4 linked regions of the Elephas maximus indicus genome follow. The protein of the gene in region 3 purifies or fractionates together with the protein of the main gene of each other region. This does not show direct contact. Links are inferred from orthologs where the notes say so. Each region holds a gene or a part of one and is shown on either strand. Other genes may lie near its edges. The genes, in order: RAD52, PRPF19, RPA2 and CDC45.

The links.
Region 1: the proteins of RPA2 (region 3) and RAD52 purify together in Homo sapiens (affinity purification with western blotting; 3 studies listed by BioGRID and IntAct, with this or other methods). This does not show direct contact. The link is inferred for Elephas maximus indicus from reciprocal best matches to the Homo sapiens genes RPA2 and RAD52.
Region 2: the proteins of RPA2 (region 3) and PRPF19 purify together in Homo sapiens (affinity purification with western blotting; 4 studies listed by BioGRID, with this or other methods). This does not show direct contact. The link is inferred for Elephas maximus indicus from reciprocal best matches to the Homo sapiens genes RPA2 and PRPF19.
Region 4: the proteins of RPA2 (region 3) and CDC45 purify together in Homo sapiens (affinity purification with western blotting; 3 studies listed by BioGRID and IntAct, with this or other methods). This does not show direct contact. The link is inferred for Elephas maximus indicus from reciprocal best matches to the Homo sapiens genes RPA2 and CDC45.

What each region holds. Positions count from the first base shown.
Region 1 is NC_064822.1:57,802,794-57,810,796, forward strand, and holds the start of RAD52 (DNA repair protein RAD52 homolog), read left to right. Parts: upstream 1-4,990; 5' UTR 4,991-5,162; intron 5,163-8,003. UniProt on the Homo sapiens protein: Involved in double-stranded break repair. Plays a central role in genetic recombination and DNA repair by promoting the annealing of complementary single-stranded DNA and by stimulation of the RAD51 recombinase.
Region 2 is NC_064825.1:124,020,340-124,028,026, forward strand, and holds the start of PRPF19 (pre-mRNA-processing factor 19), read right to left. Parts: upstream 3,006-7,687; 5' UTR 2,791-3,005; coding exon 2,772-2,790; intron 879-2,771; coding exon 729-878; intron 547-728; coding exon 470-546; intron 1-469. UniProt on the Homo sapiens protein: Ubiquitin-protein ligase which is a core component of several complexes mainly involved pre-mRNA splicing and DNA repair. Required for pre-mRNA splicing as component of the spliceosome.
Region 3 is NC_064821.1:68,320,090-68,326,941, reverse strand, and holds the start of RPA2 (replication protein A 32 kDa subunit), read left to right. Parts: upstream 1-3,845; 5' UTR 3,846-4,060; coding exon 4,061-4,070; intron 4,071-4,331; coding exon 4,332-4,438; intron 4,439-6,852. UniProt on the Homo sapiens protein: As part of the heterotrimeric replication protein A complex (RPA/RP-A), binds and stabilizes single-stranded DNA intermediates that form during DNA replication or upon DNA stress.
Region 4 is NC_064840.1:32,705,299-32,712,189, forward strand, and holds the start of CDC45 (cell division control protein 45 homolog), read left to right. Parts: upstream 1-3,874; 5' UTR 3,875-4,005; coding exon 4,006-4,056; intron 4,057-4,166; coding exon 4,167-4,226; intron 4,227-5,155; coding exon 5,156-5,248; intron 5,249-6,891. Other genes in the region: UFD1 (ubiquitin recognition factor in ER-associated degradation protein 1), read right to left, coding at 1-122, 3,119-3,121. UniProt on the Homo sapiens protein: Required for initiation of chromosomal DNA replication. Core component of CDC45-MCM-GINS (CMG) helicase, the molecular machine that unwinds template DNA during replication, and around which the replisome is built.

The sequences.
Region 1 (8,003 bases), on a different chromosome or scaffold from region 3:
GTATATGTTCACGATATTTCCCCTTTTCCTTATTTATTTTTAAACTTTTACTTTTTACTTCTTTGTTAAGTTAGCCTCCCGACTCTTGGCAACCCCACCCACAACAGGATCAGACCGTGATCCTTACGGTTTTCATTGGCTTATTTTTCAGACCCCCACGTGTCTGTCAGTTTGTCGTACTGTGGGGGCTTGAGTGTTGCTGTGATGCTGGAAGCTAGGCCACCGGTATTCAGATACCAGCAGGGTCACCCATGGAGGACAGGTTTCAGCTGAGCTTCCAGACTAAGACAGACTAGGAAGAAGGACCCGGCAGTCTACTTCTGAAAAGCATTAGCCAGTGAAAACCTTATGAATAGCAGCGGAACTTTGTCTGATATAGTGCTGGAAGATGAGCCCCCCAGGTAGGAAGGCACTCAAAAGATGAGTGGGGAAGACCTGCCTCCTCAAAGTAGAGTCGGCCTTAATGACGTGGATGGAGTAAAGCTTTCGGGACCTTCATTTGCTGATGTGGCATGACTCAAAATGAGAAGAAACAGCTGCAAACATCCATTAATAATCGGAACCTGGAATGTACGAAGTATGAATCTAGGAAAGTTGGAAATCATCAAAAATGAAATGGAATGCATAAACATCAATATCCTAGGCATTAATGAGCTGAAATGGACTGCTATTGGCCATTTTGAATCAGACAATCATACAGTCTACTATGCTGGGAATGACAACTTGAAGAGGAATGGTGTTGCATTCATCATCAAAAAGAACGTTTCAAGATGTATCCTGAAGTACAATGCTGTCAGTGATAGGATAATATCCATATGCCTACAAGGAAGACCAGTTAATACGGCTATTATTCAAATTTACGCACCAACCACTAGAGCCAAAGATGAATAGATTTTTATCAGTTGCTCCAGTCTGAAATTGATCAAACATGTAATCAAGATGCATTGATAATTACTGGCGATTGGAATGCAAAAGTTGGAAACAAAGAAGAAGGATCAGCAGTTGGAAAGTATGGTCTAGGTGATAGAAACAACACTGGAGGTCAAATGATAGAATTTTGCAAGACCAACGACTTCTTCATTGCAAATACCTTCTTTCACCAACATAAATGGCGACTATACACATGGACCTCGCCAGACGGAACGCACAGAAATCAAATTGACTACATCTGTGGAAAGAGACGATGGAAAAGCTCAATATCATCAGTCAGAACAAGGCCAGGGGCCGACATTGGAGCAGACCATCAATTGCTCATATGCAAGTTCAAGCTGAAACTGAAGAAAATCAGAGTAAGTCCACTAGAGCCAAAATATGACCTTGAGTATATCCCACCTGAATTTAGAGACCATCTGAAGAACAGATTTGACGCATTGGACACTAGTGACCGAAGACCAGATGAATTGTGGAATGACATCAAGGACATCATCCACGAAGAAAGCAAGAGGTCATTGAAAAGACAGGAAAGAAAGAAAAGACCAAGATGGATGTCAGAGGAGACTCTGAAATTTGCTCTCGAATGTCGAGCAGCTAAAGCAAAAGGAAGAATTGATGAAGTAAAAGAACTGAAGATTTCAAAGGGCGTCTCGAGAAGACAAAGTATTATAATGATATGTGCAAAGGGCTGGAGATGGAAAACCAAAAAGGGAAGAACACGCTCGGCATTTCTCAAGCTGAAAGAACTGAAGATAAAATTCAAGCCCCGAGCTGCAATAGTGAAGGATTCTATGGGGAAAATATTCAATGACGCAGGAAGCATCAAAAGAAGATGGAAGGAATACACAGAGTCATCATACCAAAAAGAATTAGTCGATGTTCAACCATTTCAAGAGGTGGCATATCATCAGGAACCGATGGTACTGAAGGAAGAAGTCCAAGCTGCTCTGAAGGTATTGGCAAAAAACAAGGCTCCAGGAATTGATGGAATATCCATTGAGATGTTTCAACAAACAGATGTAGCACTGGAGATGCTCACTCATCTATGCCAAGAAATATGGAAGATGGCTTCCTGGCCAACTGACTGGAAGAGATCCATATTTATGCCTATTCCCAAGAAAGGTGATCCAACCGAATGGGGAAATTATAGAACAATATCATTAATATCACAAGCAAGCAAAATTTTACTGAAGATCATTCAAAAACGGCTGCAGCAGTATATCGACAGGGAACTGCCAGAAATTCAGGCCGCTTTCGGAAGAGGACGTGGAACCAGGGATATCATTGCTGATGTCAGATGGATCCTGGCTGAAAGCAGAGAATACCAGAAGGATGTTTACCTGTGTTTTATTGACTATGCAAAGGCATTCGACTGTGTGGATCATAATAAACTATGGATAACACTGCGAAGAATGGGAATTCCAGAACACTTAATTGTGCTCTTGAGGAACCTTTACATAGATCAAGAGGCGGTTGTTCGTTCAGAACAAGGGGATACTGATTGGTTGAAAGTCAGCAAAGGTGTGCGTCAGGGTTGTATTCTTTCACCATACCTATTTAATCTGTATGCTGAGCAAATAATATGAGAAGATGGAGTATATGAAGAAGAACGGGGCATTGGGATTGGAGGAAGACTCATTAACAACTTGCGTTATGCAGATGACACAACCTTGCTTGCTGAAAAGTGAAGAGGGTTTGAAGCACTTACTACTGAAGATCAAAGACCACAGCCTTCAGCTTGGATTGCACCTCAACATAAGGAAAATAAAAATCCTCACAACTGGACCAATGAGTAACATCGCGATAAACGGAGAAAAGACTGAAGTTGTCAAAGATTTCATTTTACTTGGATCCACAATCAACAGCCATGGAAGTGGCAGTCAAGAAATCAAAAGACGCATTGCATTGGGTAAATCTGCTACAAAGGACCTCTTTAAAGTGTTGAAAAGCAAAGATGTCACCTTGAAGACTAAGGTGCGCTTGCCCCAAGCCATGGTATTTTCAATCACGTCATATGCATGTGAAAGCTGGACAATGAATAAGGAAGATGGAAGAAGAATTGACGCCTTTGAATTGTGGTGTTGGCGAAGAATATTGAATATACCATGGACTGCCAAAAGAACGAACAAATCTGTCTTAGAAGTACAATCAGAATGCCCCTTAGAGGCAAGGATGGCGAGACTGCGTCTTACATACTTTGGACATGTTGTCAGGAGGGATAAGTCCCCAGACAAGGACATCATGCTTGGCAGAGTACAGGGTCAGCAGAAAAGAGGAAGATCCTCAAGGAGGTGGATTGACACAGTGGCTGCAACAATGAGCTCAAGCATAGCAACGATTGTAAGGATGGCTCAGGACCGGGCAGTGTTTCGTTCTGTTGTGCATAGGGTTGCTACGAGTCGGAACCGACTCGACGGCACGTAACAACGACAACAACAATTTTTCAGAAGCAGATGGTCAGGACTTTCTTCCTAGGCTGTCTTAGCCTAGAAGCTCTGCTGATACCTGTTCAGCATCTCAGTAACATGAAAGCCTCTACTGACAGGTGAGTGGTACCTGCCTGAGATGCATTGCTAAGGATGAAACCTAGATCTCCTGCAAGGAAGGCAAGATTTCTACCACTGAACCACTATTGTCCTCAGTTTTTACTTACAGATGTTAAAAAAAATTTTTTTTTTTTAAACATAGGCAGTTCCATTTAACTATTGTTTCCTTTATGACTTAATTCTCAACTTTAATACTTAGAAAACCCTTCCTCATTCTGAGGCCAGATATTCATCTATATATTTTTTCACTTTGTTTTTTGCTTGTGTGTGTGTATTTAACACTTCACCCTTGAATTCAACTGGAATTTATTTTTTTATATTTTGAAAAGGAATTTAACTCCCCTACCCCCCGTTTTTTTTTTTTTTACCCCCAGTTAACTAATTGTCCCAGATCCATTAAAAAACAAAACATTCTTTCTTCACTGATTTGAAATGTCACCTTTATCAAATAATAGAGTATGCATATGCACTGGAACTGTTTCTAGGCTTTTTACTCAGCTTCCAGTGGTCTAACTGGGTAGAGCGGTCACACAGAGTATGACTTGCTCTGAGATTTTGCTATCAGTTGTCAGTTCTGACTCATGGTGACCCCATGTGTGTCCGAGTAGACTTGTGCTCCATAGTTTTCAACGCTGTGATCTTTCAGAAGCAGATCGCCAGGCCTGTCTTCCCAGGTGCCTCTGGCTGGGTTCAACTACCAACCAGTGCTTAACCCTTTGTGCCATCCAGGGAACCAGATACTGAACAGTCTGGTTAACAGGGGCTTACTGTAATGACCAATTTGAAAACATAAAAGAATGATTTTGTTGGAGTTTTTTAGTAATTAATTTCGGGTTGTAATGACTGAAGTTTTCGGTCAGTTTTTCAGCATTGCTAATAGAATGTGTTATCATCACCAAGTTCCAAGAGATATACTAAAGAAAGTCACCTCTCCTCCAAGTCACAAGTTTATTTTCCTCCCGTTCTTACTAACTTAAGCAGAAGCTACCGGGTGATGACTGGATGTGCACGGCAGTTTCAGAAAAGGAAGGCTTAGTGAAAAAGCATGTCCACATTGCCACCGTTCGCTGTGTCAGCCTGGGGTGGGCGCTGTGAGGGTCTCTGATAACCATAATTAGTAAGACTTAAAAGCATTATTCTCCCTTCCCGAAAGATCCCAAATGTGCACAGATAAGTACTGGGAGGTCCCTCTCCCGCCCCGCCCTGCCCCTGTATCTGATTGGGTACGTGAGGTAGTGTAGGAAGGCGCAGGAAAAGCAGGCCCAAAGCACCTCAGACTAAGCTGAATCCTTTAGGTGAACTCGCAGGGCCCCTCCAGGGGGCAGCGGAGATCCAGACAGCCGGAGACGGAGACCTGAGCTCAGGAGCGTGGGAGGCGGTGGGGGCGGGACGTAGAGCTCCTGGCGCTTCCGGCTTACTTTACAGCATCCGACAGTTTACTTTGCGGCTCTTCCCTCTTCCGACTTGGTTTACGGCTCCTGCTGTACTGTTCTCCCCCCCGCCCCCCCGCCCCCGTTTGTTTTTGTTTTTTGCGTAAGGGCCAGCTCTCGGTTTGGACCTTCTTCCCAGGGTTTCCTTGCACTTCCTTCCCAGTCTCCTTTGCGCGACCTCTATCTAAGCTCCATTCTCTTGCATTTAGCCTGCACCGAGCTCCCTGCGTGCACCACGCGCTGGCCGAGGCGCGTAAGTCGGGAGGGAGAACCGGCCATGTTGGGGTGGTTCCGTCTGGGGGTTGTGTGGAGCATGGGAGTGCTCACATTCGGAGGGGAGAACGTAGGGTGGCGGTTGGTCGTCTTGAAGATCCCAGGATAGTGACCATGGATCCAGAGGCCTGGACTAAATAATTAATGCAGTAAAGGATCAGGGCTTACTGAGAGTTTGGTTAAAATAAAAAACTGAGAGTTTCGTTAGGAGGGATAAAAAAAACCCAGTGCCGTCGAGTCGCGTATTGTTAATTGTGGCTGTTCCCTGCACCGAGCAAGACACTCTAAATGCTGCTTGTTGACAGAAGTGAAGGGTGCAGAAGTTTATCAGTAACTGGGTGTGGTTGCGGCTGAGGTTGGGAAGGAATTAGGAATTTAAAAGGAATTTGACGCCCAGCTTAGCCGCGTGTTCAGCCATCCTAGAAGTTTTATTTTTTAAAGAATTGAGATACAACTCATATACCATTATAGCCATCCTTTTTAAGTGTGCAATTTAGTGTTTTTTAGTGTCTTTAAAAGGTGCGCTACCATCATTACCATCTAATTGTAGAACATTTTCATCATCCCAAAAAGAAAGTCACTCACACATACCGTCAGCCCCTTATAACCGCAAATCTGATGTCTGTCTCTACGGATTTGCCTCCTCTGGACATTTCGCATAAATGGAATCATAGAATATGTGGCCTTTTGTGCCTGGCTTCTTTCACTTAGCATAATGAGAAGGTTCATTCATGTCATACGTAGCATATGTCAGAACTTTATCCTTTTTTTATGATTCTCCATCGGTTAATGGACGTTTGGGTTGTTTCCATTTTTTGGCTTGCTAGACTTTTTAAGATGTTTCTTCACAGAACTTGCAGTCTAAAGCGTGAACTTTTGAAAACTAAATTTTCAGAAAATGTAATTGAGTCACATTTCACTGCCTTCAAATCTGGTATCTTTTAGGCAAGTGTGCCATTTAAAAGTCTTCTATTTCAGTTCAGCACCTATCAGACTATGTTTCGTAGTGGTGACAAGCAGAGGAATGTTTGTGTGCAGTTCTCAGAGATCACAGCTGCCTGTCATCTTGTGACATAAACCGGGTGTAGGTGGAGATTAAAAACCAAACCAGTTCCTGTCCAGTTGATTCCAACTCATAGCGACCCTATAGGACAGAGTAGAACTGCCCCATAGGGTTTCCAAGGCTGTAAACTTTATGGAAGCAGACTGCCACATCTTTCTTCTGTTTAGTGCATACAAAGTGTAAATGAGTTCCGTATGGGAGACAGGTTTTACCTAAAAAAAGGTAATTAATTATTGAAGGGCAGAAAGCCTAGTGTGGATATTTTTCAGTCTTTTAACATTTCCTACTCAAGACATTCTTTTTTTTTTAAATTGTACATTAGTTGAAGGTTTACAGAACAAATTAGCTTCTCATTAAACAGTACACATACCGTTTTATGACATTGGTTAACAACCCCATGACATATCAACATTCTCCCTTCTTGACCTTGGGCTCCCTATTACCAGCTTTCCTGTCCCCTCCTGCCTTCTAGTCCTTGCCCCTGGGCTGTTGTGCCCCTTTAGTCTTGTTTGTTTTATGGCTGAAGGGTGAACATCAAGAGTGACTTCATTGCTGAGCTAAAAGGGTATCCGGGGGGCATACACTTGGGGTTTCTCCAGTCAAGACATTCATTTTTAATAGCTTACTGGCAATTTTGAAGTGGAGAGAGGCTAAAATGCTTTTCATACTATATACTGGCTGGGGACTGTGCTAAGTGCTGAGGATTCATTGATTAATGTATGTGCTCCCTTCTCAAATGGCTGAGTGTAGTAGAGAAGTAAATGATTGTAGTGTGATATATGCTTTTGAGTATGTCTAAAACACTGTGGGAGAACAGGGTTAATGCTACTTAGGGTGTATGTTGTTAGTTGCCATTGAGTCGGCTAGAATATAGTGAGGTACATAAGGCTTCAAAAAGGAGATGACATTTTAAGATTTATTTCCTTCTTTTTAAAAGTATTCAACTCTGTTGCTAAACATTTTAACTATCACAAACATTATAGCAGCATGTACATAAATGAAAATTAAAGAAAGATACTTGATATACAATCCTGCTCATATCAGGCTGTTCTTGATTCTCACAACTAGAATCACACTAATCACGGAGTCTTGTCTGTTCTGCCCCCTGTAGTACATATCCAGGGTCCATCTCTTTCTGTCATCTGCACTTCCATTGTCTTAGCTGAGCCCTTATTCCTGTCTGGACTGTTGTAATATAGACTAATAGAGAGCTCCTAATCGAGCTCTCCCTCAATTATTCACTGTTGACTAAACTTTCTGAGGCATAAATATAATCTTATCATTCTTAGCCTAAAAATTTCCATTGGTCTTCCATGGCTTACAAAATAAAGTTCAAGCTTTTTAGGGTAGCTTACATTAACCCTTGTGATCATGTCCTGTCCTGGCTTTGATAAAAATGAGAGATTATAAGACAAAAGAAGAAAATTTCCTTACATATATGCTTCTTTTCTGTCTTACTCCTCTCCTTCTCCACACATGTTTAGAAATGCTTTTAGGTGATAAGGAAATAGATAAGAATAGAAACACTTTGCCAGTTTTGTTTGTTTTACCTTCTTAATATTTCTCGAATTCATCCACTTCTTGCTCACAGCCACTATTATCTTGGGAAAATACCTGTGAGAAGAATTGCTGGGTCATATGGCAGACACATGGAGCCCTGATGGCGTAGTGGTTAAGAGATTGGCTGCTGACCAAAAAGTCAGCAGTTTGAATCCACCACCACTGCTTGGAAACCCTATGGGGCAGTTCTGCTCAGAC
Region 2 (7,687 bases), on a different chromosome or scaffold from region 3:
ACCGCTGCTATTTATCATTGCCCTCATTGTGTCAGGCCCTGTGCCAGATGGTCCCTCAAGATGCATTCACTCAGATTTACAGAACACCTACTATGTATCAGGTGCTGCCCTCAGTGCTGGGGATACACTGATGAATAAAACAAGACCCTGATGTCATGAGGTTTATACTCTATAATTGTATCGTAACCCTCCCAAAATCCTGAAAGATAAAATACTAAAATCTCCACCATACAGTCACGAAAACCAGGACTCAGAGTGTGGGCAACTTGCTGGAGGTCACATGGCTAGTAAGCAATGAAGCTAAGTTTGAAACTCAGACCTGTGTGACTTTTACACCCAGGTGCCTCCTCCCATATCATTCTGCCCCTCGAAAAAGATGACGATGCTCCAGCCTTCCCACTCCCTAGTCCCAGTCCAGGGATCCATCTCTTCAAGTGGGGAAGACATTGGTTCCCTCTGGGGAACTCACCCACTCATCCTGCAGAGCTTTCAGAATGGCCGGGATGCTGGTGGCTGAGGGAGGCTTGGGCCGGATTGGGTGAGCAACTGCCGAGAGGGAAAGTGGTATGAAGAACCCTAACCCAGCAGCCTCTTACCGTTCCCCACCTCTTTCCCCCTCAGCCTGAATTAACAGACCACCATCGCCTCTTCCAATGCAAAGGCACCACCTCCCACCCTCTCAGCCTCTGAACTGAGGCAGCTCTGGCCTGAGGCTGACCAGTGGGCACCTTTGATGTCGATCAGCTGCTCCTCAGACAGAGGCTGGTTGTTGATGGGGTCTGTGCCGTTCTCCGCAATGTACTTCTCAATGAGCCTCCGCTCATAGACATGATTGGAGACAGGGGACACACACGGGTGCTCTGGCACTTCATTGGAGACTGCAGGGAAAAGGCAGGCAGTGAGCGTGGGGTCAAAGGGAAGCCTGGACCAAAGAAACCCCTCACCCGCTACTGGCCCCAATAAGGCCACATGTCCTCACACTGAACCAAAAGGAAACAAGACCTGTGTCCCCAAGCCAGTTTTGTACTGTCCCCAGAATGCTTTCCAGTGACATAAGGAGCTTCTCCATCAGCAGTCTCCTGATAGTCAGGTTTTCGACAAATATTCACCGCAGAGCTACAACATGCCAGGCACCCTAGGGAGTAGTCAATAATCCCTGCCCATCTCATTTTTAAACAAAACTGGTGGTTGTTGTCGTGGCGGTGTGCCATCAAGTTGATTCCGATTCATAGTAACCCTACAGGACAGAGAAGAACTGCCCCATAGGGCAGTTTCCAAGACTGTAATTTTTATGGAAGCAGACTGCCACAGAACAGCTGGTGGGATTGAACAGCCAATCTTTCAATTAGTAGTTGAGCGCTTAACCACTGTGCCACCAAGGCTCCTTACAAAAATAGCTAGGCATCCATTATACTCCAGGAGATGGAGACATGTATGAAGCCACTCAAATCCCTGCTGTCCATCTCAGTCTAGAGCCCTAGGTAGGTTATCGAAGAAGATACAAAGCAACGAGACAAGTACTATAATAATAAAAAACATTTATGTGGGGTTTGCTAGGTGCCATGCATGATTCTGAACATTTTACATAATCTCATCATCATTTACACACCTGCCCTGAGTAGACGGTGTGCCCTAGAGAAGAGGGATTACAGCTGGTCTCTGACTCCCAGTAGGTGCACATCCCAAAGACGAAGGAATGAATGCATGGGAGGAAGGACGGTGCTGGAGCACACAGAACAGAGCTCTTTCAAGGGTCAAAGAAAACACTGGATGTGAAAATACTTTGCAATTTCTTCAATGTAATTATAATTCCCTCCGTGTAAGGTATTCCTTTTCCTGCCCATTTCCCTTTTTACTACCCTTCTTTGGATTTAAGGGAGAGGTTCAGGAAAGAGAGGATGGCTTAAAGGTAGGAAGCAAAGAGAGAAAGGGGTGGGAAACTGGTAACCTGATGAAAAGATGAGAAAAGAAAATGGGAGCATGACACAATAAAACACCAAAAGGAAAGGCAGTATAAGGCATGGAAAAGCATGGATTTGGGGTCGGGGAACCTGACTGTCACCCCGCACTGCCACTTACTAGCTGTGGAACCTTAGCTAACACTCATCCTGGGCTTCCCTTCCTCACCTGTAAAGCTAGGGTCTTTATTTCTGCTTCGGGAAATTCTTGTGAGGATAAAATGAGATCACAGACTTGGAAGCACTGCTGGAAACCATGAAGGGCCTCATAAATAAGCACTGTTTTTATTCGTGCTACAGTGTGAGAGAGACCTGGCTTCCAGCCCTGTCTCTGCCTCTAACTCACTGTGTGACCTTCGCAAACTCCAGAAGCTCCGACTGCCCAAGCGCGACCTCAGACAGCATCCAGTGCAAAGTCCTCATTTTGAAGATGGGGAAACTAAGGCCCAGAGAGGGGTCGATCACAAAGCTAATCGGAGGCGAATTCTGAACGAGCCCTCGGCTCCCCTGGCTCCTACGCTAGAGAGGCTTCCCCTGCACCAACTCCCTCTGTCCAAGCCTCTGTAAAACCAAATGGTTGGCCCCAAGGAGCCCTGAGACGACAAATCTGAGGCGCTGTGTAAACTGCGAAGCTCTGCGCAAATGGACCCCGCGCGGAGGACGGAAGGTTCCCGGTGCTGACAGGCCGCCGCTCTATCGCCCGGGAGCCCCGTTCCCGCCTCCTCCAGAAGCCGGTGTCTCAGCAGCTGGCGCATTCTCCCGCTCCGCTCTCCAGCCTCCTGCAACCCACGATCGGCCGCAGGCGCTACTCACTTGAGCAGATCAGAGACATGGCGCCGTCACTGCGCTCCGAGGCGCCTCACACCGGGCTCCGTGACTGGCTTCGGAGCCGCCGCGGGCCACTTCCGGTTCCCCGCTGCTTCCGGACGCTCCGCAGCGAGCGGGGAGCACCCCGCCGAGCTCTGGTAGCGTAGTGCTTCACGTGGGTCTGGGGCAGGTGGCGCGCCGCAGCCTTCAGCAACTAACGGAAACTGCCCCTTCCCAGAATGCAACCGGGCAGGAAAGGGCCCGCCACAGAACACTCGGCTATTTCCGGATTAACTCGTCTCCTTCCGTAAAGTGCCCCAGGGAAAAGGCGGCGTAAAACTACATTTCCCATGATGCAGTGGGACCGTTACATCCAATGTGTTCCTGCACTCCTTTTGAGACGCGGTAGTGTCTGTGTTTTCCGAATTTTAATGTGCACAAGAATCTCTTAACGAGCTTATTAAAATGCAGATTTCTAGGGTCTGTCCTAGAGAGTCTGCATTTTAATTTAGCGCCCAATAAAATTGAGGCTGGTGTTTCTCGGGCCGCCCTTTGAGAAAATACATGCTGGGGGAATCCGATGAAAATGCAGATGAGTAGGGGAACTAACAATGATCAAAAAACGGTTTTAGTACTACTTCTGTTACCAATTTGCTCTGTGACCTTAGGCAAGTCACTAGTTTCTCTGCCGGTTTTCTACATGACTTCTAGGTTGCTTCCAGCTCAGGTAGTGTAAGATTCTTCGTTGACCTCTGTAAGATAAGATATACTCAGGAAAGATGTAGAGAACGTGCGCCGACTCGTGTGGGCTACGAGGGAAGACAGCAGGACGGGTAGATGTGGTCACTGAAGTCTTCCCTGAAAAGGCGTGAATGAGCTGGGCTTTGACAAACGGGCAATATTCAGAGAAAGGAGAAAGAAGTGAAGGGTATTCTAGAAGGAACAGCATGAGCAAAGACGGAGAGAAGAACAAAAGTTGCAGATATAGGGCAGTAGGGTATAGCGGCCAAATGCATGGACTCTGAAGCCAGACTGCTGAAATCCCAACTCCATCCAGCTAGTATGCTGTGTGAACTTCTCTAAGTTGTTTCCTCATTTGTAAAATCGGGGAAGTGAAAACAAGGGTAGAACTAAGTTATAGAGTTTTTTTGTGATGAGTTAACAAACAGCACTTTGAACTAACCCTGGAACATAGTAAGTACAGTATACATATTCATGTTTGTCATTATCTCAAAAGCCAGCAAGATTGCCCAAGCTCCCCTGAACTGATAAAATAGCTTCCTAGTAGCATCTGGGATCTTAAAAGCTTACCAGCTGCCATCTAAACCCATTGCTAATCTAAGATACAATTATTAGTCTCTTCCTGTCTGGAACAAAAGAGAGTGAAGAAAACCAAAGGCTCAAGGAAGCAATTAGTCCAAAGGACTAACGGACAACATGAACCACAACTTACACGACCCTGAGACCAGGAGAACTGGATGGTGCCCAGCTACCACTACCAACCACTCTGACTGGGATCACAACAGAGAGAGGGTCCTGGACAGAGCCGGAGAAAAATGTAGAACAAAAAATCAAAATTCACAGAAAAGACCAGACTTACTGGTCTGACAAGAGACTGGAGGCACCCTTCTGACCTGAAACTGAAGCCATCCCTGGAGATCACCTTCCAGCCAAGCAATAGACAAGCCCATAAAATAAACAATAGTATCTGAGAGGAATGTGCTCCATAGAACAATCCATTATATGAGATCAAAGGGCAATATTTGCCCTAAAGCAGAGATGAGAAGGCAGAAAGGGATAGAAAATCAGGATGAAAGGTATCGGGGAAACCAGGGTGGAAATGGGGAGAGTGCTGACACGTTGTGGGAAATAAAACTAAGGCCATAAAACACTTTATGTACGAACCAGCAGATGGGAATCTAATTTACTCTGTAAACTTTCACCCTAATGCACAATTAAAAAAAAAAAAAAAACTTCCTGATTGACCTTGTTTCCAGACTGGCCTCCCTCTAATCCACTTTCCACAAAGCAGCCAGTGATCTACTTTCAGTGAAAAATCTATTTATGCTACTCCTCAGGCATTTAATTCGTTCAACATATATTGATTGGGGTGTGTCAAGCTCTGTTCTGATCATTGCAGATACAAATGAATGAACAAAATGACAAGGTTCCTGCTCTTATGGCTGTTTAATTTTATGGAGAGCATGCAGAAAATCAACACCTAAGAAGATAATTCCAGAGAGTGGTTGTTGTTCTTGGTTGCCATCGAGTTGATTCCGTCTCATGGCGACCCCATGTGTTACAGAGTAGAGCTGCTCCATAGGGGTTTTTTTGTTTGTTTGTTTTGCTGTAATCTTAACAGAAACAGATCACCAGGTCTATCTTCTGCAGCACCACTGGGTGGGTTTGAACTGCCAATCTTTAGGTTAGCAGTGGAGTGCGAACCATTTGCACCACCTGGGGACCTGGAGAGTGGTAAGCACCATGAATAAAACAAATCAGAATAAGGTGAATAGTAGCTGCTGGGCATCGGAGGGAGGACTTCTTTATGCAGGATATTTAGGGAGGGTGTCTCTAAGGGGGTGACATTTTTACTGAGACCCGAATGAGGGAAAGCAGTCAGTCCCAAGACCAGGAATGAGTGACTCTGGCAGAAGAAACTTGCTCCCAAGCCCTGTGCCATCTGGCCCAGGCTGACCTCCACAGTCTCTCCAGCCACACTGGTCTTTTAAATCCTCAAATTTACCCACCCTTGCTTAGAACACTTTCCTCAAATCCTTCCCTTCTTCCCCTCCCCCCAATGCCCTCCAATGTAAACTTCAGTCCCACCTTAGATGTCACTTCCTCAGGAGGCCTTTTCTTTAATATCAGGCCAAGGTTTAGCCCCCATAAACCAGTTGCCAGTGAGTCAATTGTGACTCATGGAGACCCCATGTGTATCAGAGTAGAACTGTTTTCCATAAGGTTATCAATAGCTATGATCTTTTGGAAGTAGATTGCCAGGCCTTTCTTCTGAGGTGCCTCTGGATGGATTTGAACCACCAACCTTTCTGTTAGTAGCTGAGTGCTTAATTGTTTGCACCACCCGGGGCTCCTTTAGTCCCCATAAACCCAACCCAACCCATTGCTGTCAAGTCGATTCCAACTCATAGCGACCCTATACGACAGAGTAGAACTGCCCCATAGAGTTTCCAAGGAGTGCCTAGTGGACTCAAACTGACAACCTTTTGGTTAGTAGCTGTAGCACTTAACCACTATCCCACCGGGGTTTCCTTATCAGCCTCTAATTCTCCTCTGAGCCACTTGAGATAACTATAATCATTTAACTATTTATAATTATCTGTCTGATGTCTGGATTCTCCATAGCCTGTAAGATCTGTGATGACAGGAACCAGGGTGTCCTGTTCTCTGTTGTTCCCTGAGTCTAACAGTGCCTGGCACATAGTAGGCTTGGCACATAGCAGGGGCTTCATAAATACTATCGGTTGAATGACAGGCTGCCTGGCGGGCCAGGCGTCTCAAGTACTTAGATTTGGTAGGAAATAAAGTGGGTTAGTAAGTGGTTAGACTTGTGGGCTTGGCAGCAGAACAACATCTGATTGCATTTGAGCTACCAAGTGACCTAAAGATAACCACATTTCCAGAAGTTTCCTCTGAAAGGCACTTACTAGATGGGTTGGAAGGGGACAAACTGGAGAGGAAAACACATTCATTCCTTTAACGGACAAATCTTTATTGAGCACCCACTGTGTGCCAGGCAAGAGACATCCCTACACTGGGGAGCTTATGGCTGTGACATCAGAACACAGGAAAAAAGGAGTCCCTTCAAAGCTTTCAGAGCCCTGGTGGTACAGTGGTTAAAGTGCTCTGCTGCTAACCAAAAGGTTGGCAGTTTGAACCCACCAGCTGCTCCACGGGAGAAAGATGTGGCAGTCTGCTTCCATAAAGATTACAGCCTTGGAAACCCTATGGAGCAGTTTCACCCTGTCCTATAAGGTCAGAATGAGTCAGAATCTATTCAACGGCAACGGGTTTTGACTATACTATATGGCAATGGGAACGGGGTTATATGCCAAAGGGCTTTTTCAAGGCTTTTGGGTTTCAAAAGCCAGCCCCATGGGAAATAGAAGGAATTCAGGGAATAGACAATTGACTTAAATATCATGGGTAAGTGCTTGATCTCCACACCACCACCACCCACTTTGTCCTCCCCACAAAGGAGACAGGTATTCCCTAGTCTGAAAACGGAGCTTTAGAGGGAAAGAGAGAGACTCATAGCTGTTGGTAGGTCCCTAAGAAAGGAATCCTGATCCCTGTTCTTCAGGCCAAGGCTGTTGCTGCTCCTTGGAAAAGGTAAGTTCACATTGGCCAATAACCCAGAAGAAGGCTGGGCTCCATTTCCCAGGTAGACTCAGTGGCAACCTGTGTAGACAAATGAGAGGACGATGGAAGCCTCAGGAATTGACAACTGGATGCACACCTAGGGTCATATGAGCCTCCCCCTCCCCTTTGGCCATATGCTAATCTTCCAAAACGTGTGCACAGCATGAAAATCGGGGATGGGAAAAGTTCTAAACTGTCTGAGATTATTTCCACTCTACCCCAATGGAAAAGAGAGTTGAAAAGAAATTAATTTTTCCTAGGAAGAAAGAAGTTACATTTCTTGCACAGGAAAATCTGTGACCTGAGATTTAGGTAGTCCTACAAAGCAGCTGAAAGAACCGAAGAAAAAAGTCAAGCCTCGAGTTGCAATATTGAAGGATTCTATGGGGAAAATATTGAATGAAGCAGGAAGCATCAAAAGAAGATGGAAAGAATACACAGTCACTGTACCAAAAAAAACTGATTGATGTTCAACCATTTCAGGAGGTAGCATATGATCAAGAACTAATGTTATTAAAGGAAGAAGTTCAAGCTGCGCT
Region 3 (6,852 bases):
CTTTAACTGCAGTTTAAAATTTTAAGGATATTTAGTTGAGTCTGTAAACAATGTTCACATACTCAAAAGGTTGGTTTCAGGTTTTATTGGCTAAAAGAATTCAATAAATTGAACATTAAACAAATAGTTGTGGATGTTCTTCTGTACATATAAGAGCCTCTCCATCAGTAATAGAGAATTCTATCAGTATTAGCCAATTCATAATGACCATTACTGGTAGAAATAATCAGGACCATATAAAACAGAAAATGACAAAAACTCCACCCAGTAACATTTGTCTTAGCCCCCCCCCACCCAAAAAAAGAAAGGAAAAAATCACATCTTATGTATAATGTTGGAAACTGCAAAAAGTCACCCTGAATCAAATTGTACTTGATAGATAATGCGCACCCATAAAACTACAGTACCAGATGTGTAAAATTGGGCATGGATCAAATTTAAACGATGAATTAAACCCTCATTGTAAAATTCGCCCAGCAAAGAATTGATCCACATACAAATAATTGTAAAAAAAGAAAAGTGGAAAAAAAATTAGAAATCACTAAATTGAACTGTATAGAAAACTGAACAGAGAATTAAGTCTCAATGAAAAATCCATCAATGTCAGAACAATTCTGATGAAAATATTTGTATTCATAAAGCGGAGGCAAAATGACCTCGGGGATTATAACTGTAGATCAAAAACATTCAGAGAGAATGCATATTGAGCACCTAGCACAGATATAATGGATGTACCTGGCACGTGGTATGTACTCAATAAACACCAGATTGTTTTAAAAGATAATTTCTCTTCTACTTACTCTTGCTGCAATTTCCCTAGCAGTCCCAAGTCTGGGAATAATGAACTATGCCCCTACCTGGAAGAGGGTAATTAAAGAAATCCCTTCTATGTGACAGGAAGACTCCCAATTAAAACCAAACCTTGAGAGATGAAATTACTACACACACACCAAAAAAAGGGAAACACTATTTTAATGCTGATTCAGACCTGAACCCTCTATTCAACTTACCTGCTCATGGAGGTGTTGAAAAGATGTGAAATCATATTTTGATGGTTATTATGCTCTAAGTTAAGACATTCTGGCTTCACTTTGGATTTTATTTTTAAGCGTATACTCTCCTCAGCTGAATTTATAACTAGTTGAACCCGAAATGAGGTAGATTAACCTAACATCTTAAATTTCCCAGAATAGTCTTAATTCATAACATTTTATCCTAATATTCCCATAAATATGCTTTTACTTGTCATACTATGTATGTTCTAATCACTTTAGGATTAATATAATAATGTCATCTCGTTTCTGCCTCAGACTTCTGTCTTTGGCTATATCTTGTTTAATTCTCAGTGATGGTTTGGAAGCTTACAGAATTTATATAAGAAAGAGATGACACACAAGCAACATCTGGCTCCCAAGTATCTTTTGTTTGGCCCACACGGTCTTGAGACAGAATTAGGCTGAAGCAGACTGGTTGGGCCCCCAGCACATAGACTGGGAAAAGGTCGAACAGGACAGACAGTAGAATAAACAACCTGACCTACTGGCACTGGTGCAACCATAACCCACCGCCTGGAGATTAGAACGGAACGCACAGGCCCTGTGGGGCAGAATGTTTCAGCTGCGGGGTGACACGAACTGAAATGTTCTAGGATGTTGCAAATAAATTGTTGATGTAGAGCTTGCAGGTCTCCACAGGTGCAGAGCACATGCAAAAGAAGTTAAGAGTGACCACTGTTTGGCCTTCCCGAGCCCGCAGAAGCGGGCGATGTGACAAAGAAAACCAGTGCGCCTGTATCACATCCCATAATGAGTCATGTCAAGGGGAACCAAAGGACTTCCATCTTGAAGAAGTGCCACATGTGCACCTGCATTTACCTAACCCAACCCTTCCTCAGAAATCTCCGCCCTTTCCCCCGAAAACCTCATGAATAAACATCAATACCCCTCCTTGTCTAAACCCTTAAATAGTTGGCTCTTAGGCAAATCGGGGAGACAGTCTCTCCGAAGGTTCTAGCCCATACTGTTTCCTTTTGCTAGCTGCCGGCAAAATTAATTTGCTTGTGTGACTCCAGGCTGCTTCAAATAGTCTTATTGGGCGTCACGGATCTGGTTGGGTTCAACTGAGATAGGGGCCCTGGGTAACAGTCTTTTTTAAATGATTAATTTGCAAAAGCTTACGGTTCAAAAATTTTCACATAAAAATCCAGATATCTGGCTTCTACTAAAAAGCTGGCAACACTGGGCTCATACTCTTTATATATCAGTAACGATTTATCATTATGCTTAGGTGGTTATTCGTCTTACTCTGGTGAAAAAAAGTGAAAATTTAGTTCCTCTGTTATCCAGTCCATTACATTTACGGTTTTACTGACTGTCCCCAGTGGTCATTTAAGCGTGTGACCCAGTTCTGAGATGTTCTAGGAGGTATAGTAATTGCACTGGTTGATGGAATCAGACTTGCTGGCTTTGGATGCAGACTCAGTTTTCTCTTCTGTAAAATGGGGGTGTCCTAGGGTAAAATTACCAGAAAGTGATAGTAAAGCAAAAAGAAAGGTTTTATTCAGCATATTTTTGAAGGCACAAAAGTGGAAAATGGGCATGCATGCTGCCAGAGCCATGTCTGCCCAAGTCCAAGGAATATTACAGAATCATCAGTATATATTAACATTATGAATGGATAAAATCGCTGAAAGCTTCATCTTTTCACATACTGGCTAAAAACTGCTAAATTATCATGATTCTACGTTTTAAATTGTTTTTCTTAATAATCATTGGTAGGGGTTTCAGTGATGACAGTCAGAAGAGTCTTCATTGGTCCAACAACTCCTACTATTTACTAAACCCTAATAAAAAGACATAAGAGTGGAACATGTGTGGGTCTTTAGTGCTGCGTGTATGTGAGAGTTTCCCTAAAAGACGTTTTCCAAGATTGTCCTAGCTATTGTTTTTATACCTCAGGGCCCAGTTGATGTGTCCTTAGGAGTCCAGCTCCAGCTAGGTTGAATTCTTTATGCTCAAGGACAGGAAATAACGGCTTCAATTTTATCTCCTAAATGAGGAGACAATAACACTACCTACCTTATAAAAAAAAGAAAAACCTTATAGGGTTGAGTTAATAAACGTAAAATGCTTAAGACAGTGCCTGCAATTTTATAAATGCCCAGGGACCATGTCTAGTATATTTACTGTTAAATCCCAGTGTCCAGCACAGAGCCTGGAACAGGAGGCATCAAATATTTTCAAGTAAATAAATGGAAAAAAAAAATCTAATAATCTAGTAGTGCTTAGAGCAAACCAGACATTGTCCACTGTCTATAGGAAGGGCACAATCATATTATTTGAAGAATACTGGAATATAAAATGGCTGTCTTTTGAGATGGATGTCGGGCCTGGATTTACACTGAGTTGGGGAAAGGGCATCATGGGGAAGAGGATGTAAGTGTCTTATGGCCTCGCTAGGAAGAATCACAAAAACAGAGTCGCTAAACAGGGACAGAACTTGGCTCCTTCTGGAGAAGAACAAACAATCCCACGAGGTGCTACAAGGCTACTACTGTGAGTCCCTGGGGTGTGCAAATACGCGGGTTATGAGCGCAGAAGCAAGAATTTCACCACAGCGCTTTAGGTTAGGGCGTCAAAATGGTGACAGTTTGGCGGGAACAGGAAGGCGCCCAGCAAAGGAAGTGACGTAAATGTCACTCATTTGGCAGGGGTGCGGTTATGCGGCCTAGAATTTAGAACTATTATTTTGATTGGTTGTTTTCTTGGGCCCTCTTCCGGCTTTCCGCTTCCGTCTGCTAGGCCGGTCTCGCAGCTTCCGGCCCCTCAGGGAGCAGAGAGCGAGTTTTCAGACACAGGGCCAGAGAAGACAGGAAGAAGCGTAGGATTCGCGAGCTTTGATTGGCTGAAGGTAGAAGCGTCCTGGACGCTGATTGGCTCCGTCGTTCGCGGGAAGGAGTTTGTGGCGCCAGCGAAAAGTAGATACGCTGCTGCGACAACTGTAGGGCCCTGAGGTGCCCCGCCGACTCACTAGATTGGATCCTGACGGAGTCACTACCAAAATGTGGAATAGTAAATATGGGTGGGGCGGAGGAGACTGAGAATCGCGAGGAGGATTTAGCGGGACGGAGAGCCTGGGGACGGAGAGACATGGGGAGGGGGAAGGGGCAGGAACCGGAGAGGCGGGCGGGGGAGTTCGCGGGGCGGGGAAAGGTGCTGAGGAACATTCGGGAGACGGTGGGAGTGTTTGAGAGGGGTGAGGTTTGTAAGGACTTGTGGAATTTTCAGAGGCCTGGAAAGCGGCGCAGATACTGATAGTGTTGTTTGAAACAGGTGGATTTGAAAACTATGGCAGCTCCGCCTATGGTGGCGCCGGCGGCTACACACAGTCCCCGGGGGGCTTTGGGTCGCCCACACCTACTCAAGCTGAAAAGAAATCAGTAGGTTCAAAGGGTGTTTCGTTTTATTCTATCCTGTTCTAAAGCTCGTAACTCGTCTATGAGAGAAAATTTATGCGGCATATGAAGGGTATTAAATATGAACTGGTTCGGTAATTACCGGTTATTGCTCATGTTTTCTGTAATTAGGTGCTGTAAGTTTTAAAAATGAAATCTTCCCTAATTTTGCATCCATTGTTTCCTTGGCTTTGTTTTGAAATTTATCGAAATAGCCATGAATCCGTGGGAAAACTCTGAACTTGTGTTTAATGCATATTTTGCACTCTTCATGTATTCACGTAGCCAGGAGGTGAAACACGGAATAGGGGTGGGGGGAAGAACATGGGTTTTGAAGTCAAATAGACCTGTGTTTTCTTGCTCTGACACTTTACTTGGGAGTCAGTTTTGGACTTATTAAATGGGGTTGATAATATATGCCTCACAAGGTTGGGACTTGATATGTTATATTACATAGGAGCCCTGTTGGTGCAGTGGTTAAGAGCTAGGGCTGCTAGCCAAAGGGCAATTCGAATCCACCAGCCGCTCTTTGGAAACCCTATGGAGTAGTTCTCTTTCCTGTAGGGTCGATATGAGTCAAAATCAACTATGGCAACGGGTTTCGGTATTTTTTGTTTATATTTTTATATGTACTATTTCATATAATCCTTTTTGTTTACTCCATCGTACGGCAGAGGCTCAGGGAGGTGAAGGAACTACCCAAGGTTACAAAGCTAGTAAATAGCTAAAACCAGGACAGTGCACACATGATGCTGTGCAAATCCAAATCTGGTGGGCAGCCTTTTCTCTAATTGTAATTTTCTTTTTCCCAGGAAGACCAGAGGAGATTCCAGTCTTCTAGCTTTGTCTTCCTTGGGGTTGTGAAGGAGAAAACAGGTGGATAGATACTGGTTCTCGTCCTTTTATTTATCTCAGAATCCCTAGCTCAGACTGTGTATTAAGATAGCTTAGTCACAAGTTGGGGACTCAAACCCAGAGGTCATGTTTTTGAATCTAGTGCTTTTTCTACAGTAAATTAGATAAATGTGCCTGTCTGAAATATCCCCTGTTGAGTATGAACCTGTTATATTTGGTTGAACCAAACTAAGAGCCAGTATGGCAAAAACGTGGATTCAGAGCCAAACAGTCCTGCAGACCTATGTTCAAATCCTAGCTGCTAAGCCCTGGACACGTTACCACCTCTTCTGTAAAATATCTATTCTTCAAGTTGTTGAAATATATAATGTATATCAGTTGCTGTCAAGTATTTTTTCATAGTTGACAATGAACCACAGGCAACTCTGACAGTACGATATGAAACCACCATTTTTATAAGGTCTGCAGGACCGTCTGGCTCTGAATCCATGTTTTTGCCACCGTTACCATACTGGCTCTTAGTTTTCTTAATACTGAAGACGTGATGAGAATCTCAGCTGTGATAGGTGAAAACAGAAAATATAGTACATTATTTGTGAGAGAAAAATCCTGGGGCCTGTGTAGATTCTACGTTTGTGAATACTGATGTATCATAACTTCACCTGTGGATACAATAAAGTAAAATGGGAAAACATACTAGATTCCTTCACATCCTTTTGAAGGTTATTGCAGGTATGAGCAGTGAGGAGCAATAGTTAATAAAACTGCTAATGCTGAGTGCTTATGATGTTCCAGGCAATATTCTAAGTATATTACCATATTATTGCATTTAATTTTCCTGACTTTATCATTCCCAGTTGAACAGCTGAGGAAACTAATGTGCATATGAGTTAAGAAACATGTCCAAGAGCACACTACTCTTGAGTGGTTGTTGTTGACTGCATTCGGGTTGTAACCTTAACCCCCAAGCTTAGTCTCCTTCCTTCGTGACATAGCGGTTAGCTAGGCTTACTTCATACCAATTCCGGGTACTCATCGTTCAAAATTATGCTTCAGCAAAGTGAAACATTGCCAGCAGCATGAATCTTTAAGTCAAAGCTGGGACTGCTAAATCCATGAAGTCTATTATGTTCTGTCTTACAGTTATTAAGTTACTTTTTATTGATTTTGGAAAGGAAGGATTCTAATGTTTAATCTTCCGTGGCTTTTCTGCCTCATACATAGTCCCTCTGTGAGCCCTTAGACTAGAATGCCCGTCCTTTACCCACTGTTTTTCCACTATCAAAATTCTCATGCATCAAAGTCCAGCTCAAATGCTGGAGAGACTTTTTGAAATTCCCTAGGCAGAATTAGTGAGTTTTTCTGAGATGGCATAGCATGTGTAATTCTGTAGTATATCAAGATCAGGTTTGTTGTTTACATTTGTATCTTCCCTAAATTAGGAGTTACTCAAGGGCAAATTCTACCCCATCTTTATATTATTCGGTTTACCTTGGTAGGCAGAAATAAGAGTTTACAGTATTGCCAGGCTGTGGTAGGGTGTG
Region 4 (6,891 bases), on a different chromosome or scaffold from region 3:
TTCTCCACATCTGACCTGTCATTAGGCCCTGCTAGCATGGACACAGAGAAGCAGCGGTACTGGGTGGAGAAGCGGTTCTGGAAGACCCGGGGAATTGGGTGGTCAAACATATTGAAGGAGAACTGGAAGGAGAAAAGAGATGTCAGTGTCAGAACAGAACAAAGGTACATTTCTTCATGTCAAATGCCAAAACACATCAGGGTAATTAATGCTGCTAAATGTCAAAGAACAAAAAACATACTAAAATCTTGATTAACCCTTGTTGGTTGTGTTGAGTTGACTCTGACTCATGGTGACCCCATGTGTATCAGAGTGGATCTGTGCTCCGTAGGATTTTCAAATGTTGATAGTTCAGAAGTGCCAGGCCTTTCTTCCAAGGAAGGTACCTCTGGGTAGACTTAAACTGCCAACCTTTCAGTTAGCAGCTGAGCACTTTACTGTTGGCACCACCGAAGGACTCCTCATTAACCCTAATACTGGGGAAGCGGTGCATTCTGACAGAAGCACTTCCCAGGTAGAAGGTTTGTCGCAAATCTCTGTGGTTCGACCTTGTCTGCCACCCTCAGTCTTGTCCCTCTTGTCTCCACCATTCTTAGAAAGTATGGTCTTACTAAAATACAAAACTGGCCATGTCAGTTCTTTCCTTAACCTCTTTCACCCTGCAGCCCTCCTAAGTATACAGGCAGGCCTCTCAGTGGCTCACAGAGATCTGCTTTCTGGTAAACCACAATCTCCTAGACCTGCCATACTCCTACCCAGGCTACTTCCTCTGTCTGGAGGACTTTCCAATTTTCATTAACTTAACACTTACTAACTTAAAGGCACATATTTACTGTGTGACTCTACTATCTGCCAGGCTCTGTTCTAAGCATCAAGGAAACATCAGTGAACAAAACAGATAAAATCTCTGCCTTGGTGGAGCTGAATCCAAAACAGGGGACAGAAGCAAAAATAAACATGTATGTCATGTGGTAATAAATACCCTGAAGACAAAAAAGCAGGGTAAGGAGATCAAGGACACCTGGGGATGCTATTTTATATAGGTGGTTAGGAAAGGACCCTGCATAGAGACCTCAATGCCATGAGAGGAAGCCAAGTAGAAAACTAGGAAAGGCACTGCAGGCAGCAGGTGCCCAGTGCATCTTTTCACCTGGCTCCCCATAACCACCCTTTCCTTTCTCCAGGAAGCGTTCCCTACTCTACCAAGAATTAGTGCTAGTGCCCTTCAAATGTGCTCTCACTGCACAGAGTAGGTACACATACTGTGCTACTTCCTCACGTTTAAATAACTAAAGCCAAGGCAGGGTACCATTAAAAAAGGAAGATCCAAGCTCATAAAGACTGTGGACTAAGATGTGGCTTAGAAAACACACTACACATCCACTTGGGGTCTTCTCAAAGTACCGAAACTACTGTGACATTTCAAAAAGAATAAAATCTCACAATAGACAAACACTTCTTGACTTGATTTCAAATGTACATTAAGCAGAGGGGAAAACCACCTAATGATAATTAATTACAAAATAGTTTACTAAAAAAAAAAGTTGCCATCAAGTTGATTCTGACTCAGAGCAACCCTACAGGACAGAGTAGAGCTGCCCCACAGGGTTTCCAAGGAGCGGCTACTGGATCCAAAGTGCCAACCTCCTTTTCATTAGCAGCCAGCCAATCTCCTAACCACTGTTCCACCAGGGCTCTAGTTTACTAGCAATTCCAAAATCAGCAAGCTGAAGCAGCTGTATTCCTATAGGCAAAACAGTACCCTCTTGCTTAAAATCTCACATGGTTCTTCACACTCTAGAACTCTCACACAGTAGTTTTCAAACTTTTGTCTCTTTCTTCTCTCAAACAACACAACTCTACTCAACAAAATCTTAGCCAAAGGCATAACAAGTAAAACAGAGTGTCTGGATGAAGAAAGGGAGAAAAGTGGGGCCTCCTCTGACTACCTCACACTACACCACTCCATCTAAGCTGTACTCTTTGCAATATAAAAGAGGGAAACGTGCACAGAGTTTGCAACACCCTTAATAATGTGCCTTCAATACACCCATGAACCTGATCTTCTGTCCCTCCCTATTTCTTACTTTGTAACTTCAATGCTTTGCATACTGCCTGGTACATATCAAGTATTCTATAAGTCTGTTAAGTGGATGAACTTGGGAACAGAAATACGATTCAACAATGACACACTTTTACTAAAATAAGCAGGTGATACTGAGGCAATGCTGTACAACGGTTGTAATGAGGCTGAACATTGCAGCCAGCCCGACTGGGCTTCAAATCTCCACTGCTAACTTTTGTGACCTCCAGTAAGCGATCTTCCTCATCTTTAAACCTTAGTTTTCTCATGGTTGGAAACCCTGGTGGCGTAGTGGTTAAGTGCTACGGCTGCTAACCAAAGGGTCCGCAGTTCGTAATCCACCAGGCGCTCCTTGGAAACTCTATGGGGCAGTTCTACTCTCTGTCCCATAGGGTCGCTATGAGTCCGCACTGGGTTTGGTTTCCTCATGGTTAAAATGGTAATAATCCTTGTCTCCAAGGGGGTTGTCAGGACTAAACGGGATAAAGTGTGATTAGGAACGATAAGTACAAAAGAAAAGGTGTGTAACAAAAAAAAGCAGACATTAGCTACTATTGTTATCATTACTAAACATAACGCCGCTCTACGTAAGAAGGTACCAACACAACCGAGGCATGAACCCGGAGGCACAAAGTTCCCGAACTAGGGCAAGAGCAGGGAGTCCCGCCCAGGGAGATGCCCCTTATGTATTTTCCGTGGGGAGCCCTTGATTCTGCTTCCCACTTCCAAAAACCTTTCAACCAATTTAGTGTTTATGAACACCTGTTACGTGCCTAACACTTGGGCACCAATGGGTGGACACAAACGTAGAAGGTTTAAGGAGCCCACCGTCTAAGAGGAAAATGCGAGCCATGCCCTGGACAAGCGGTGATAAGCAGACGCCGTTTTGGGCAAGGCGCGACTAGTGCCCGATGCGCCCAGGACCAGAGGCGGCCGGGTCCAGGCCGGGTGACTCGGCATCTCCGCTGTCATCTCGCCCGGTCCCGCCCGCCCGCCCGTCTGCTCCCCCCCCGGGCTAGGCCTGGTCGCCCTCACCATAACTGACACCTCCGCCTCGCAGGCGCCGCTTCTTCCAGGGAATGTAACGTGGTGAGACCGCCGACCACGCTCCCTCTCACAGCCTACACCGCCGCTGCGGCCACCACCTCCACAGCCGATCCGACGCCCCGTAGGCTCACCGGAAGTGACGGACCTGGAACCTGGGCAGGGGAGTGCTGAGACCAGGGGTCGGCTGCAAAAGGGAAAAAGCCAGACAAAGAGTCTGGAGTCTAGAATTTCCCAGGAATAAATTCTATAGTATCCTTTCTTAGCAGGATTCCCACTCTAGAGATAATTTTTCTTATTATTTTAAATTACGTCTTGATAGTACTCCCCTCCAGACGAACTTAGTAGGACCCATTCCTTTTCTTGACTACACTACCCAGAATGCAATTAGATCTTCCGGCCTTTGCGTCAGCCATCGAAATCTCGGGCGGAAGTGAACTACACATGCCCCCTTTAAAGTGGAGCGAGAGCCTATTGAAAATGTAAAGCTGACGATCTCATTCTACGTATAACTAAATTTAACTTATGGAGGGAAGGTTTTTTGTCCTGGAGTTCCCAGTGAGAGATAACGGTATTTTCTTCCCGAAGTAATAATGTCCACCGAGACGCGGGTTTCTGGGTCAACGGAAGTCACAGTTGAAAGAGGCAACAGTGTTTGCGTCCTGCCGAGTTTTGACGGCTTTTTCCACCGGAAAGGCGGTGCTCTAGTGCCCGCCCTCAATATGCCCCAATCAGAAAGGAGGAAGGGCTGAGACCGAGCAGCTATTGATTGGCAGCCCCTGGGCCAATCGGAAAAGCCCTGCTTTGGCGGGAGTCTTGATCGCCGCTGGGGCTCACTGTATCCCAGATCTTATGCTAGGCGTCCGGCCACCGTGGACATGTTCCTGTCCGATTTCCGCAAGGAGTTCTACGAGCTGGTCCAGAGTCAGGTGAGCCCCAGTCTGGACCCCTGGCCTACGTCTTGTCGGGAACAGTGGGTGAGCAGGAGTGGCCGCTACTCGGGTCTCCAAACTCAGCCTGCCTTTTCTTCCCCTGACAGAGGGTCCTTCTCTTTGTGGCCTCGGACGTGGACGCTCTGTGCGCCTGCAAGATCCTTCAGGTGAGTGCCGCGGACCCTCGGACGGAGGGGCCACGGCAAGAGGTGAGCGGAATAGAGAGGACCTCCCCCAACCCCCAGATGAGGACAGAGGCTGAGGTAGGGGCTTGAGCAGTCACAACTGAAGACTGAGGTCACTGCCCTGACTGGATGGTGAGGGGTGGGTTAGAGGAGGATTAGGCAAAAGGCAGGATGACTAGTTAATATTTTTTGCAGTAACCCAGGCAAATATGGTTGCATTTGGGTGAAACGTAAGATTTAGACTTCTGGTGGCCTATGAAATGTGGGAGTTTGAGGGAGACAAATCTGTGACAGCTGAGGGCATGGTGGGGTCATAAGTGATGCTGGAAATACAGGACCTCTGGTCGATTGAAAAATATCATTAGTTCAGTCTTGTTTTGAACATAGTGGGACATTTACATTGAGCTTTGGTCAGGTTCTTAGGTCAGGATCTTATCAGAAGACCTGGAAGTAAGATTGGATTTTCCTCCAATGTATTACTTTGAAAATTTTCAAACATTCATTAGAGTTGACACAGTGAACACTCGTATCCTTACCACCAAGTTTCTCCCGTTAACATTTTACTAACCTTGCTTTGGAGTCTCTGGTTGGTGCAAACCACTGAACGTACAGATTGTAACCAAAAGGTTGGCAGTTCAAGTTCACCCAGAAGAGTTTCGGAAAAAAGGCCCTGGTGACCTATTTCCAAAAATCTAGCCACCGAAAACCCTATGGTGCACAGTTCTACTCTGATGCATGTGGGGTTGCCATGAGTCGGAAGCTACTTGATGGCAACTGGTTTTAACCTTGCTTAATCATCTGTCTTCCATCTCTCCACCAGCTATCTTTTTTTTTTTTTTTTCTCTTGGTACATTTTCAAAGTAAATTGCAGACATTCTAAATAGCAGGGTTTCAAAACACCTTTTCCTCAGGCCTTGTTCCAGTGTGACCATGTGCAGTACACCCTGGTTCCAGTTTCTGGGTGGCAAGAACTTGAAACTGCATTTCTTGAGCATAAAGAGCAGGTATGTAAGATGCGTTTTGGAATAATTAGCCTTCATTACTCCATAGTAATTTCTTAACCCTTAGCATTCTTTCTAATTCCATAATAGATTGAGTGTATATGTAAGTGTAAACTTTATTAAGCAAAGTGGAAGAGAAAAACATAATATGTATACTAGTAACTTACCCTTAAGTTGTGGAGGCAAAATTGACCCCCCCCCCCAAAAAAGAAAAGGACGGTAAATATGGACAGCAGAAATTTTATTGTTAGGAACATGGAATTTAATAGTGTTTAATTTGGCCTAACTAAAACTATTTTACGATATACTGCTATCTTATATTATCTGTCCAAATAAATGTATCCCAGGTTCCAATTTGAAATCCAGGAACATATCTTCCTCCTCAGAGTCCTGGTGGTGCAGTGGTTAAGAACTCGGCTGGTAACCAAAAGGTTGGCAGTTCAAACCCATACTGCTCCTTCGGAAACTCTATGGGGCAGTTCTACTCTGTCCTATAGGGCGGCTGTGAGTCAGAATCAACTTGATGGCAACAGGTATCTTCATTCTCCATAATTTAAACAGTAGAGGCCAGGACTGCTTCTACCTCTGCATGGGGCCACAAGGAGAGATGTGACATCTTGGGCCACACAGGGAAGGGCTGGGGTGTGGAAGAAGGACCATGGTGTCCCTGGCCACAGGTGAGACTGCTCTGGCAGAGATAAATCCTAGCCTGGAGTTCCTGTCATCATGTGAGGGAACTTTGCCAGTGTGATACTCGTAAGAAAATGATTTCTATAATGATAGGGTGTCATACCAAAAAAACCAAACCAAACCCACTGCTGTGAAGTTGATTCCTACTCACAGCAACTCCATAGGGTTTATATCTTAGGCTGGGTTCTCTAGAGAAGCAAAACCAGTAAAGCATGTAAATACGTAGAGATTTATATCAAGGAAATGGCCCACGTGGTTGTAGAAGCTAGAACATTCCAAGTCTTTGGGTCACACTGGAGGCTTCTCCTGATTCACGTAGCCACAGGGCCTGACAAACCCAAGGTAGGTTAGGTCAGAGAGCAGGGCTCTTGCTCACGGGCTGAGAAGACCAGTGAATCCCAAGATTGACAGGCGAGACAGCAGGTAAGCTGCTAGCCCAGGTCCCAAGAACCAGAGGTCAGACAAACAGGGGCCAGCCACAGGATCCAGAGCAAGCAAAAATCAGCAAGACTTGCCAGAAAATCCACCTATATTGGATGCAGGCCACACCCCAAGGCAACTCCCTTTCAACTGATTGGCTACTCACAGCAGATCCCATCATGGAGGTGATCCCATTATATCAGATCTCACATGGAAGTGATCACGTCATCATAAGATTGCCAAACTACATCATAACTGCCAAACCATTGAGAATGATGACCCAGCCAAGTTGACGCACAACCTTAACAATCATAGTTTCCAAGGCTGTAAATCTTTATGGAAGCAGACTGCCACATATTTCTCCCACAGACCTTTTGGTTAGCAGTCAGGTGCTTTCACCACTGTACCACTAGGGTGTAATAGAAGACTTAAATTTAGGTGCCCAAGATTATTAAAAATTTAAACCTCTCCCTGGCGAGGCAGGAGCCCTGGTGGCCCAACCATTAAGTGCTCGGCTGCTAACCGAAAGGTCAGTG